Linked DNA regions of Canis lupus familiaris. The main gene of each other region encodes a partner of the protein of the gene in region 2 in a complex. Links are inferred from orthologs where the notes say so. Each region holds a gene or a part of one and is shown on either strand. Other genes may lie near its edges.

The links. The genes of interacting proteins can lie anywhere in the genome.
Region 1: CRCP (region 2) and POLR3K share a complex: the UniProt entries of both Homo sapiens proteins name them as parts of the RNA polymerase III complex. The link is inferred for Canis lupus familiaris from reciprocal best matches to the Homo sapiens genes CRCP and POLR3K.

What each region holds. Positions count from the first base shown.
Region 1 is NC_049227.1:40,885,239-40,890,985, forward strand, and holds POLR3K (DNA-directed RNA polymerase III subunit RPC10), read left to right. Parts: upstream 1-2,474; 5' UTR 2,475-2,523; coding exon 2,524-2,634; intron 2,635-3,380; coding exon 3,381-3,468; intron 3,469-4,922; coding exon 4,923-5,050; 3' UTR 5,051-5,488; downstream 5,489-5,747. Other genes in the region: SNRNP25 (U11/U12 small nuclear ribonucleoprotein 25 kDa protein), read right to left, coding at 400-474, 1,009-1,114, 1,354-1,444, 2,117-2,158. UniProt on the Homo sapiens protein: Core component of RNA polymerase III (Pol III) which synthesizes small non-coding RNAs using the four ribonucleoside triphosphates as substrates. Can mediate Pol I proofreading of the nascent RNA transcript.
Region 2 is NC_049227.1:729,946-734,946, reverse strand, and holds part of CRCP (DNA-directed RNA polymerase III subunit RPC9), read right to left. Parts: intron 4,662-5,001; coding exon 4,625-4,661; intron 3,485-4,624; coding exon 3,344-3,484; intron 1,206-3,343; coding exon 1,111-1,205; intron 1-1,110. UniProt on the Homo sapiens protein: DNA-dependent RNA polymerase catalyzes the transcription of DNA into RNA using the four ribonucleoside triphosphates as substrates.

The DNA.
Region 1 (5,747 bases), about 40 Mb from region 2:
GTATTAAAAAAAAAAAAAAAAAAGGTAGGAACAGCTTGTGTCTGGGAAGGTGAGGAGTGGCAGTGGCCATCGTCTCACGGACCTAGGTCGTGCCAGCAGGCAGCCTCTCACCTTCCCACACACTGCCCTCCTCTGGCTCTAGGAAGCCCCGCTCTACCACTGGTGAGCAGTACTCACACTGCCCCCATGCCTCCCATTCCAGTAGGGAGAGCCCTCAGGAACCTCCCTGCAGGAGGGTGTTGGTTGAGCCAGGGACTCTCTTGGTCTTGCAAATTCTCCAGTGATTGATTTAAGACTCCTCCTCCCTCGGAAGAGGCCCCAGTCTTCTGGCAGAGCCTGGGTACTAAAGGGCAACAGACCAGGTGCCTCTCTGCAGCTCAAAATGTGGTGTGAACTTACTCTCGAAGCTTCTTCCTGTCCTCTGTGAGCTTCTCTCCTGCAGAGGTCAGGTAGTAGGTCCTCCACACATAGGACCTGCAAAATCCAGATGAGGATCTGGGTAAACCACAAGCAGGGTGATTGGGCAGCTGGGACGCAGCAGCTGTGTGTGAGATGGGCTCGGGATGCTCAGCTCTGGGGGGCCCAGGGCAGGCAGCCTCTTCTTGGCTTGTCCTGTACCCTGTACACACCAGGCCCGAGGTAGCTCGAAAGAGGCACCGCTCTGAAAGAGCCGTGTGGGGTGGCTGGGGGCCAAACACACCTTCCTAATGAAATAGGCTACAGCACGGAGACAGAGACGACCCATGCTGCAGGAGTGAGGAGACCACCCAGGGGAAGATGGGGTAGGGCCGCTGGCAGCTGCACCGTCTGTAACCAAGGAGACCACTTACGCTGGAAATGCTCCAAGGTGCCCCCATTTAAGAAGCCCAGTTGCCTGGGTGAGGTGATGTAGATGAAAGAGAACTGAGGCAGGACTCCCAGGCACCGTGGCACCCACCGCGCCGGGACGCTCAGGACAGGGAACTCCTCGGTGCTCTGTGGCACACATGCAACAGTGGCTCCACTTACCAGCTGATGTGCTGAATGCCCCCTTCACGCTCCTGCCTGAGCTGCACGTATCTCTGAATGGCCTTCTTCAGGTCCAGGACTGTGGCGTTCTGCACCACAACCACAGCTGCGGGAGAAGAGCCATGTTAGGATCCACAGCCACAGCCTAGGACGGCAGGAAAGGAACCAGAAGCTCTGTCCAGACTGTTTTGGACGGAGGCTCAAATTCAGGTGGGGTAGGCTTGTGGTTGCCCCGATGCCCTTCGACGTACATGGCTCTTGAGTTTCCCCTGAGCAGCCATGGCAGCGTCTTGTCTGCGTGACAGCTTGGACTGCAGGGTCCGCAGGGAGAGGGCGAGCACTTACGCATTATCTCTCCATCCATCTTGCACACGCGGACTGTCATCGCTTGGCCATATTCTAGTGCTATCTGGGAATTGACTTCTTCCAAAGTAACCTGCAGAAAGACCAATGGTGGAGGTGGGAGCCTTGGCTGCCTTTGCTATCCCAAACCACAAGACAAGACAAGCGGATAGCATCGGAAAAGCAGTGCCGTATCTTACGAAAGACGAGAGACAAGATTTCTTACTTCTATGCTAGGGTTTCCCGGTTGCACCTACATTTTAAAAGTGTTTAATGTGCAAAGTGCATTAAAGCTCAGGAAAAGAGGAGCGCTGAAACAGGAGAGGGTGAGCGCCAGATCTGGGCTCTGGGGCTGGGAAGGAGGAGGCGCGGTCAGTCCGGGATCCAGGGCGACACCGGGCGGGGGGGGGAGGGGAGGCCGGTGTGCGAGGGTGACCGGGGCGCCCAACCCAGGAGTGAACGTCCTCGGGCGGGGCGCGAATCTCGATGCGGAGTCCCGGGGTGGAGCCGTTCTCCCCACTTGAGCCTCAACTACGGAAACGACCTTAGAACCTGCACCTGCAGCGCAGCCGCGCCCGGGGCGCCCGGGGCGCCGTCGGGGTCCGCCTTGGGACCGGACGACCGTCCGCCTGTCCCTGTCCCCTGCTGCCCCCGCTCGTGCTCGGGTCAGTGAGGTCCTTAAAGGACACGGGAGAATCGAGGCCCGCCGCATCGTCACCTCTGGCGCCCACAGGGGGAGGTCAGGCACCGAGGTCCCGCCGCGCACCTGGATCGGGAGGTCGCAGAGCAGCGGGTCCTGCACCACCATGGCGAGCCCCTCCTGGAACACGTCCACCGCCTCGGAGTGCGGCAGCGCCTCCTCTTCATCCTCCTCGGCCTCGGGCGCCTCGGGCCGCGCCGCCGCCGCCTCCGCCTCGGCCTCGGCCTCCGCCGGCTCCAGGGCGCCCGCCCAGCCCCGCGCTCCGACCGCGCCGCCGCCGCTTCCGGCCGCGAGGGGCGGGGCTGCCACGGGGACCGATGGGAGGCTCGAGGCGGCCTGCCGCAGGGGCTGCTGGGAGCGCCAACCCGGCCCGGCCATTGGGGCGGCGGCGGCCCGGGCCAATGGGAGCTCGCGACGGGCCCGACGCCGGCGCCCCGCGGCCGCAGGGGCTGCCGGGAGCGCGCGGGGCAGCCATGCTGCTCTTCTGTCCGGGCTGCGGGAACGGGCTGATCGTGGAGGAGGGACAGCGCTGCCACCGCTTCGCCTGCAACACCTGCCCCTACGTGCACAACATCACGCGCAAGGTGATCACCCGCCGCCCCCCGCCCAGCAGCCGACGCCCGCCCCGCCGGGGTGCTCCAGCGGCCCCGCCCCCGCCCCCCGCCGTATCGGGAGCGGCCTGGCCTCACCCGGCTCCCGTGGCGGCGTCCCCGGCGGCGGCCCGGGCGGCCTCGTCGGAGCCGTGGCCGGATCAGGCCCGCCCTGTGCGCTGGCGCGGCTGACTGCGGGTCCGGGCCGACGCCGCCAGCCCCCGGGGAGCAGCCCGCGCCGCGCACCGACACGGCCGCCGGGCCTTTGCACGTGCTCCCGCTGCCCTCCCCGCCCCGCCCGCAGCCTCGCCGTGTTTGGGTCGTGCCGAGCAGCGTGGCTCTGGCGGACTCGGGTCACCTGCGGACACGCCTCTACGGGACTTGCGTGCCTGGGGTCGGTGCTGCGGCCCCAACCCGGGCCCTGGACGGAGCCGCGGCGCACCGCCCGCCCCGAGCTGCCCGCGGGAGTTGGGGCCGCCGCCGCGACGCCCGGGACGGAGCCGGGGGCCTGCGCGGAGGGCCCGGGCCGAGCGTGGACGGGGTGGGGTGGGGGGTCCCGGCTGCATCCGCCTCTTGGGCCGGCCCGACGCTGGAGCCCCTGGACCCGGGCCGAGCCCTGCGCCGCGGGTGTAGAGACGCGGCTGCCCAGGATCGTGCAGCCCGCGGGGAGGAGGGCAGTCGGCGGCCGGGTCAGCACCGCGCCCCTACCCGCGGCCTGAACACCTGCCGCCTTTCGCCAGGTCACCAACCGGAAGTACCCGAAGCTGAAAGAAGTGGACGATGTGCTCGGCGGCGCGGCGGCCTGGGAGAACGTGGACTCCACCGCAGGTGAGAGCTGAGGCCGCGCTGCCTTTGAGGAAGGAAGCTCCTAAAAATAGCGTGTGTATTTTCTTCTTTAGTGATTTATTTCTTACACAGGCAATATTGGCATAAACCCCAGAGACGTACAGGTGTGGGTTAGTCTCAAAGCCACAGCCTCTTAACATCGCATGACCTTGGTGGCCTCCCTCCGTTGTGAGAGCGTGAAGGGAGCCCCGCAGCACTTGGCCTCTAGCGTGGTCCTCAAGTGGCGGCTGTGCGGGGAGCAACCGATGGCAGTAATGAAAGTCGGAGCCTAAGGAAGAGTATATGGTCCATTTGTTCAGTTGTGGATCTTTTTTAAAATTAATTATCTCTAAAAAATATTTTATTTATGTATTCATGAGAGACGCAGAGACAGAGACACAGGCAGAGGGAGAAGCAGGCCCCATACAGGAGCCCGATGTGGGACTCGATCCTGGGACCCCCCGGGGTCACACCCTGAGCAGAAGGCAGATGCTCAACCACTGAGCCACCCAGGGATCCCTGGTGTAGATTTTTATTTTTAATTAATTAATTTATTCATTCATTCGTTTGTTTGTTTGTTTATTTATTTATTTATTTATTTATTTATTTTTCTTCCTGGTGTAGATTTTTAAAAGCTGATGGCAGAGAGCATTCACATGTTTATTTCAAGTCTTGTTTCCTGTCTGATAGAGGTAGATGTGACCAGGGAAGGAAAGAAGAGAGCCCTAAACACATCTGTGTTGAGCGGAGGAAGACCCAACTCCTGTTTAGTATTATCTTTTCTCCCCCATAGAAGAACATCTAAATCTGATATGGTAAAATTAGCATTGGCAGAATTTGCCAGGAAAGAAAAGAAGATGATTTTGGTACCTAATGTTCAAAGTGCTGTTTGTGAGTGTTTGAAGGCATTATCAAGCATAGGGTCAGTTTCCCGAACTGAAGTCACTTTGCCTTGAGGTATTTGGCAAAGGTGTGGGTTGTATGGTGAGGTCTTCATAAGAACGGCCTGAGGAACTGCTGCCGAGATGGATCCCTAAATTTAATGGGAAGTGGATTTGTCATCCCCTGGGGGCTCCTCCAGGAAGTTGAGAGGGCTTAGGTGATGGAGATGCACTTGGAAGAATCTGCCCAGAGTGGACCCCATCATGCACATGGTAGCCATAAGCCACATTTCATGTCACATTTCCAGCTAGTCTTCAACCAGATTTGAGAAGAAAAATGGGACTCAGGGAGGGGAGCAGGAGTGTTTTCCAGGGTCACAAGTCCCCTCAGTGTGAGAGTGTAGTGGGAATGATGCCACTAATTACAGCCTTTCAGTCATGGCGCAAGGTGCCCTAGGCAGGGGATGCCAGATGATTGGGGTCGGGGAGGGATTTGGTGTGTTAATACCTACCTACTTCTAGCAGGTGTGTTTGGTCATGAGCATAATGTGGGTCACTTGTTTTTCTCGTTGCCAGAGTCATGTCCTAAATGCGAACATCCTCGTGCCTATTTCATGCAGCTTCAGACTCGCTCTGCAGACGAGCCGATGACCACCTTCTACAAGTGCTGCAATGCTCAGTGTGGACACCGCTGGAGGGACTAGGGCCAGGATCCAGCTGTGTCATTGTCTGCCTACCTTGTTCCCTAGGGTGGATTCACAGCCAGGAGTGTGAACTGTTTGTCCTGAACTGTCTCTGCTGATGTGGCCAAAAGCTAACCCTTTCACGGGAGCTGGTCAGGGTACCAGCCCATCTGGCAGTCAGCGGATGAGCTCATTTATATCCAGGGGGATTGTGTGTGCAGGGAAGGGTATACATAAGTAAGTGTGTTCTTTTTAATATCCTGTTTGTGGATCTTGTAGGTATATTGGCTAATTGACATCTTTTCACCATTATCCTTCTTAAATATGCACTCTGATTGCACAACTAATAAAGTAAAATGTTATAATGTAGGACATTAGATGTATCTAAGTATTTAACTTAATTGTAAACTTATCACTATCTATTCTGAATATTTAATTAAAATGGAAAGTCTAATACTGCTTTTCTAGTGTTTATTTTTTTTTAATTTTTTGCCAAGAAGTATATTTTATTTTCGTTAATCATACAAATAATTTGCTATAATATCCCAGGGTAAACTGCAGAGTTTGGCAGTCTGACTGGGGCGGGGTGGGGGCTGGGGGGCGGCCCTCAGAGACCTGCAGGCTGGCAGCCTTCAGCGTGGAGTGCCTGGGTTCACAGCACAGCTTGTCACTCGTGGCCATCTCGCAGGTGGCTCTTCCTCTACATCACGACCCGGGT
Region 2 (5,001 bases):
TAACTAGCCAACTTTATAAAAACACTTTAGTTTATGAACCCCATTTTCAGCAAATTTGGCACTCATGCTGTAAATGGTTATGGGGTAGGTCAGAGAACTAGGACTAAAACAAAACAAAACAAAACAAAAAAAAGAGATTTTGAGATTTAAAAATCCCATTAGGAATGCCTGGGTGGCTCAGCAGTTGAGTGTCTGCTTCAGCAGGGCATGATCCCGGGTCCAGAGATCGTGTCCCACATCGGGCTCTCTGCGAGGAGCCTGCTTCTCTCTCTATGTCTCTGCCTCTCTCTGTGTGTGTCTCTCATGAATAAATAAATAAAATCTTAAAAAAAGAAAAACCCCATTAAATTCTGTTTCTGGCTCTAGGAGGATCCTCATGTCTGAGTCTCAGTTCTCTTGTCCACGATACCATGATCCTACTTTAAAAGAGCACTGTGTGTCAATTATAATTCAAAATTCAACTAAATAGAAACATAGCACTCCTGAGGATGGTTTTCATATAGTGTCATTTTCATTATGTGTCACATATTTTTCTGACTAAAAATAATTTTTACTACAGTGATTTAAAGGGGCACATTCATCCCCGTTTATAGCAGTCCATGATAGCCAAAATATGGAAAGAGCCCAGATGTCCACTGACAGATGAATGGATAAAGATCTGTGTACACACACACACACACATACAGGAGTATTACACAGCCATCAAAAGGAATGAAATCTTGCCATGTGCAACGACATGGATGGAACTAGAGGGTATTATGCTAATGCTAAGTGACATAAATCATATGATTTCACTCTTGTGTGGAATTTAAGAAACAAAACAGATGAACATAAGGGCAAGGGAAGGAAAAATAAAGATAAAAACAGAGGGGGAAGCAGATGGTAACAGACTCTTAACTCTAGAAAACAAATGGAGAGTGATTGGAGGGAAGGTGGGTAGGGAGATGGGGTGACTGGGTGATGGGCATTAAGGAGAGCACATGATGTAATGAGCACTGGGTATTATATGCAACTGATGAATCACTGAATTCTGCCCCTGAAACTAATAATACACTGTACATTAACTACACTGAATTTAAATTAAAAATTAAAAAAATAATTTTTACTTACTTGGTCAACTTGTGGCTTTTCATTGCTGTGAGAAATTCTCTGACAATCTCAGGAGTCTGGTGCCTGCATGGTGTTTTTGATATATATTTTAATGTCTACCCCCCCCAAAAAAAAGAAAAAACAAGCATAAGATAAACAAAACTTGAATGAGAAAAAGGGAAGACAATGGCTATAACTTAGTATTCTAAAATTTTTTTTTTTTTTTTTTTTTTTTTTTTTAGTATTCTAAAATTTTATTTCAAAATCTATAAAGGGGTGTCTGGGTGGCTCAGTCAGTTGAGCATCTGACTCTTGATTCCAGCTCAGGCCATGATCTCAGGGTCATGGAACTGAGCCCCACATCAGGCTCTCTGCATGGAGCCTGTTTCTCCCTCTGCCTATATCCCTGCCTCTCTCTCTCTGTCTCTCATGAATAATAAATAAAATCTTAAAAAAAAAAAAAAAAAAAGCAAGCTTTTCTGATCTTTTTTTCTTTTTTTTTAAAGTTTTTATTTATTTATGATAGTCTCACACACACACACACACACACACACACACAGAGAGAGAGAGAGAGAGAGAGAGGCAGAGACATAGGCAGAGGGAGAAGCAGGCTCCATGCACCGGGAGCCCGACATGGGATCCGATCCCGGGTCTCCAGGATCGCGCCCTGGGCCAAAGGCAGGCGCTAAACCGCTGCGCCACCCAGGGATCCCAAGCTTTTCTGATCTTAAAAAAAACACTCAAGCTGACAATTGTGTTATATTTCAGACAATTTTTTAAAAGACAGGGAACCCAAAGAATAGTCACAAGTCCATATGGATATAAGTAAATAAATAAAAGGATGAGAAGGATCAAGTGTTTTCTTACAGAAGAATGTGGAAGGAATGAGGGAAATCAATCAATCTTAGGCAACTGAACCACAGTAATAATTACTGCAGGAAAGACATACTAATGAGTACTAAAATTAATGGGCAAAAGCTTTAAGTAGAATATATTATGCATAGCCTCAAAGCATCTTCCCCAAAATATCTATTAATTACTGTGATGGACTGATTGATTGATTCTTGGGTGATGGTTTTAATATATGTCCTCAGGGGTACCCGGGTGGCTCAGTGTGGTTGAATGTCTGCCTTTGGCACAGGTCGTGATCCTGGGGTCTTGGGATTGAGTTCTACATCAGGCTCCCTGCAGGGAGCTTGCTTCTTTTTTTTTTATTTTTATTTTTTATTTTTTTATTTATTATTTATGATAGTCACACACAGAGAGAGAGAGAGAGAGAGAGAGAGAGAGAGGCAGAGACACAGGCAGAGGGAGAAGCAGGCTCCATGCACCGGGAGCCCGACGTGGGATTCGATCCCGGGTCTCCAGGATCGCGCCCTGGGCCAAAGGCAGGCGCCAAACCGCTGGCGCCACCCAGGGATCCCAGGGAGCTTGCTTCTCCCTCTGCCTTTGTCTCTGCCTCTCTCATGAATAAATAAAATTTTTTTAAAAAGTCCTCAGATTTTTTGATATCCTTCCTTCAGGAGATGAAGGAGTCCTTTGAATGGACTGGACTTGACAATTCCTTTCTAACTAATACAAAGTGGAAGTGGAAAACCAGTAACTTTACAGCAGAGAGGCCAGATACCACCTTAAGCAAGTAATCAGAGTGAACAGCATCAGTAAGACACTGATATCATATACCCTGTACTACACAATGACAAGGATACATCCTTTCTGTAGCATTCCTTCCCAAAAGCCTAACTTCAGTCTGGTCATGAGAAAACATTAAAACAAAACAAAACAAAACAACCAAAACTGAGGGACATTCTACAAAATACTTGACTATTACTCTTCAGAAGTGTCAAGGTAATGCATGGAAGATGAGAAAAGCCTAAAGACCTGCTAGAGATAAGAGGATATTAAGGAGCCAGCCATGGTAACTGAATAAAACACCCTGTACCCTTGAACAGAAAAAGGGCATAGAAACTGAGAAAATCTGAATAAACTCTTTCTGTAATTGCTTAGTTTTGATAATTGTGCCATGTTTATGGGAGACGGTAACATCAGGGAAAACTAAGAGAAGGGGAAAGTGTTAGAATTCAGGGCAGTCTTTTGACTATTCCTTCTAACTTTAACATTAGCTAACCCTCACCATTGGATAAACTCCCTCCACTTGTATAAACAGAATAAAAACTGGGTTACAGTAAAACCACTCAAATCAAGTAAGAGGTAGTCATGATTTGGTGGCTAGTCATCTGCAGAATAAGCCAACCTCAGTGGTAGTTGGGTAGCCTCTCCAGTAGCATAGGCTTACTTCATAGGTGATAGTATTCAAGTTCTGTTGCCCAGAACTGTGTTTGTTCTTTCCACTTTCTTTCCTTTGCTCTTTCAGATCAGTCAGTAACTGGAACACCTAAGGAAGTAATAAAATATTTTTATGAATAAATTTGATAAATCTTTTTCAAGGTCAATGATTTTGAAGGATAACTAGTATAGTACCTCTTTTCTTTCACAAACCCTCTCCCTTACTCTTGCATTAGAGCAAATATTAGTCTGAGATGCAGCTGACATTTTAAAAATTCTTTTTATCTAAGTTGATAATCCAAATCCATTAGTTTACTGAAAATATTTCAAATGTTTCCTTATCAATATATCTCCCCTGATCTCAAACATATATTGAGGGTTTTTTTTAAAGATTTTATTTATTTATTCATGAGAGACACAGAGACATAGGCAGAGGGAGAAGCAGGCTCCCCATGGGGATCCCAATGCAGGACTTGATCCCAGGATGCCAAGATCACTCCCTGAGCCAAAGGCAGATGCTCAACCACTGAGCAACCCAGTCATTCCCATATATTGAGTATTTGAAAGTAAATCTTCCTAAAATATGATCATCTCAATAGAGGCAGACAGAATTTTCCAAAATTCAACACCCATTTATGATAAAAACTCTCAACAAACTGGGTTTAGAGGGAACATACCTCAATGTGTAAAGGCCATATATGATAAGTCCTCAGCTAACATCATACTGAACAGTGAAAAGCTGAAAGCTCTTCCATAAGATAAGAAACAAGAGGGACATCTGGTTGGCTCAGTGGTTGAGCATCTGCCTTTGGCTCGGGGAGTGATCCCCGTCCCAGGATCGAGTCCCATATCAAGTTCCCTGCGAGGAGCCGGCTTCTCCCTCTGTGTCTCTGTCTCTCTCTCATGAATAAATAAATAAATCTTAAAAAAATTTAAAAAAAAGAAAGAAACAGTTCCAAAACACATGTTTCTATCCCATGAAGGAATATCAAATGAAGATCTAAAATATCTAGGATTTGGGGAAGATTGCCTACTATAAACTAAAGTCTTCCCAGCTTTCCTGAATTACTATGTATAATTTACCAAGCTTATAATTCCAAAGTCCACCAGATGGTGTCATCTGTCCTATTTTAAAGTGGAAAATCCAATGAATTCAGTCATTTTAACTAAAATTAATTCAATAATCTTCAGAAGCAAAGGGCAAACTATCAGAGAGGAAAATCCAATAGTTTACTTCAAAGCTATTTACCTCATAGTTACTGAGCAGCGCAGAATTGGCATCCTTCCTGCAAAATAAAGGAAATATTCATCAGTCTGGGCTCCCATTCCTTTGTTGAAATTAAATATCTGTAAAATACTTCCCGTATCAAGATTCAGTAAACAAGGGACATCTGGGTGGCTCAGGGGTTAAGTGCCTGCCTTCGGCTCAGGTCATGATCCTGGAGTCCCAGAATTGAGTCCTACATTGGGCTCCCTGCATGGAGCCTGCTTCTCCCTCTGCCTAAGTCTCTGCCCCTCTCTGTGTCTCTCATGAATAAGTAAAATCTTAAAACAAAACAAAACACACAAAAAAAACAAGTTCAGGAATTTAGGGACTACAACCTAAAACTGAGAAATGTCCTAAGT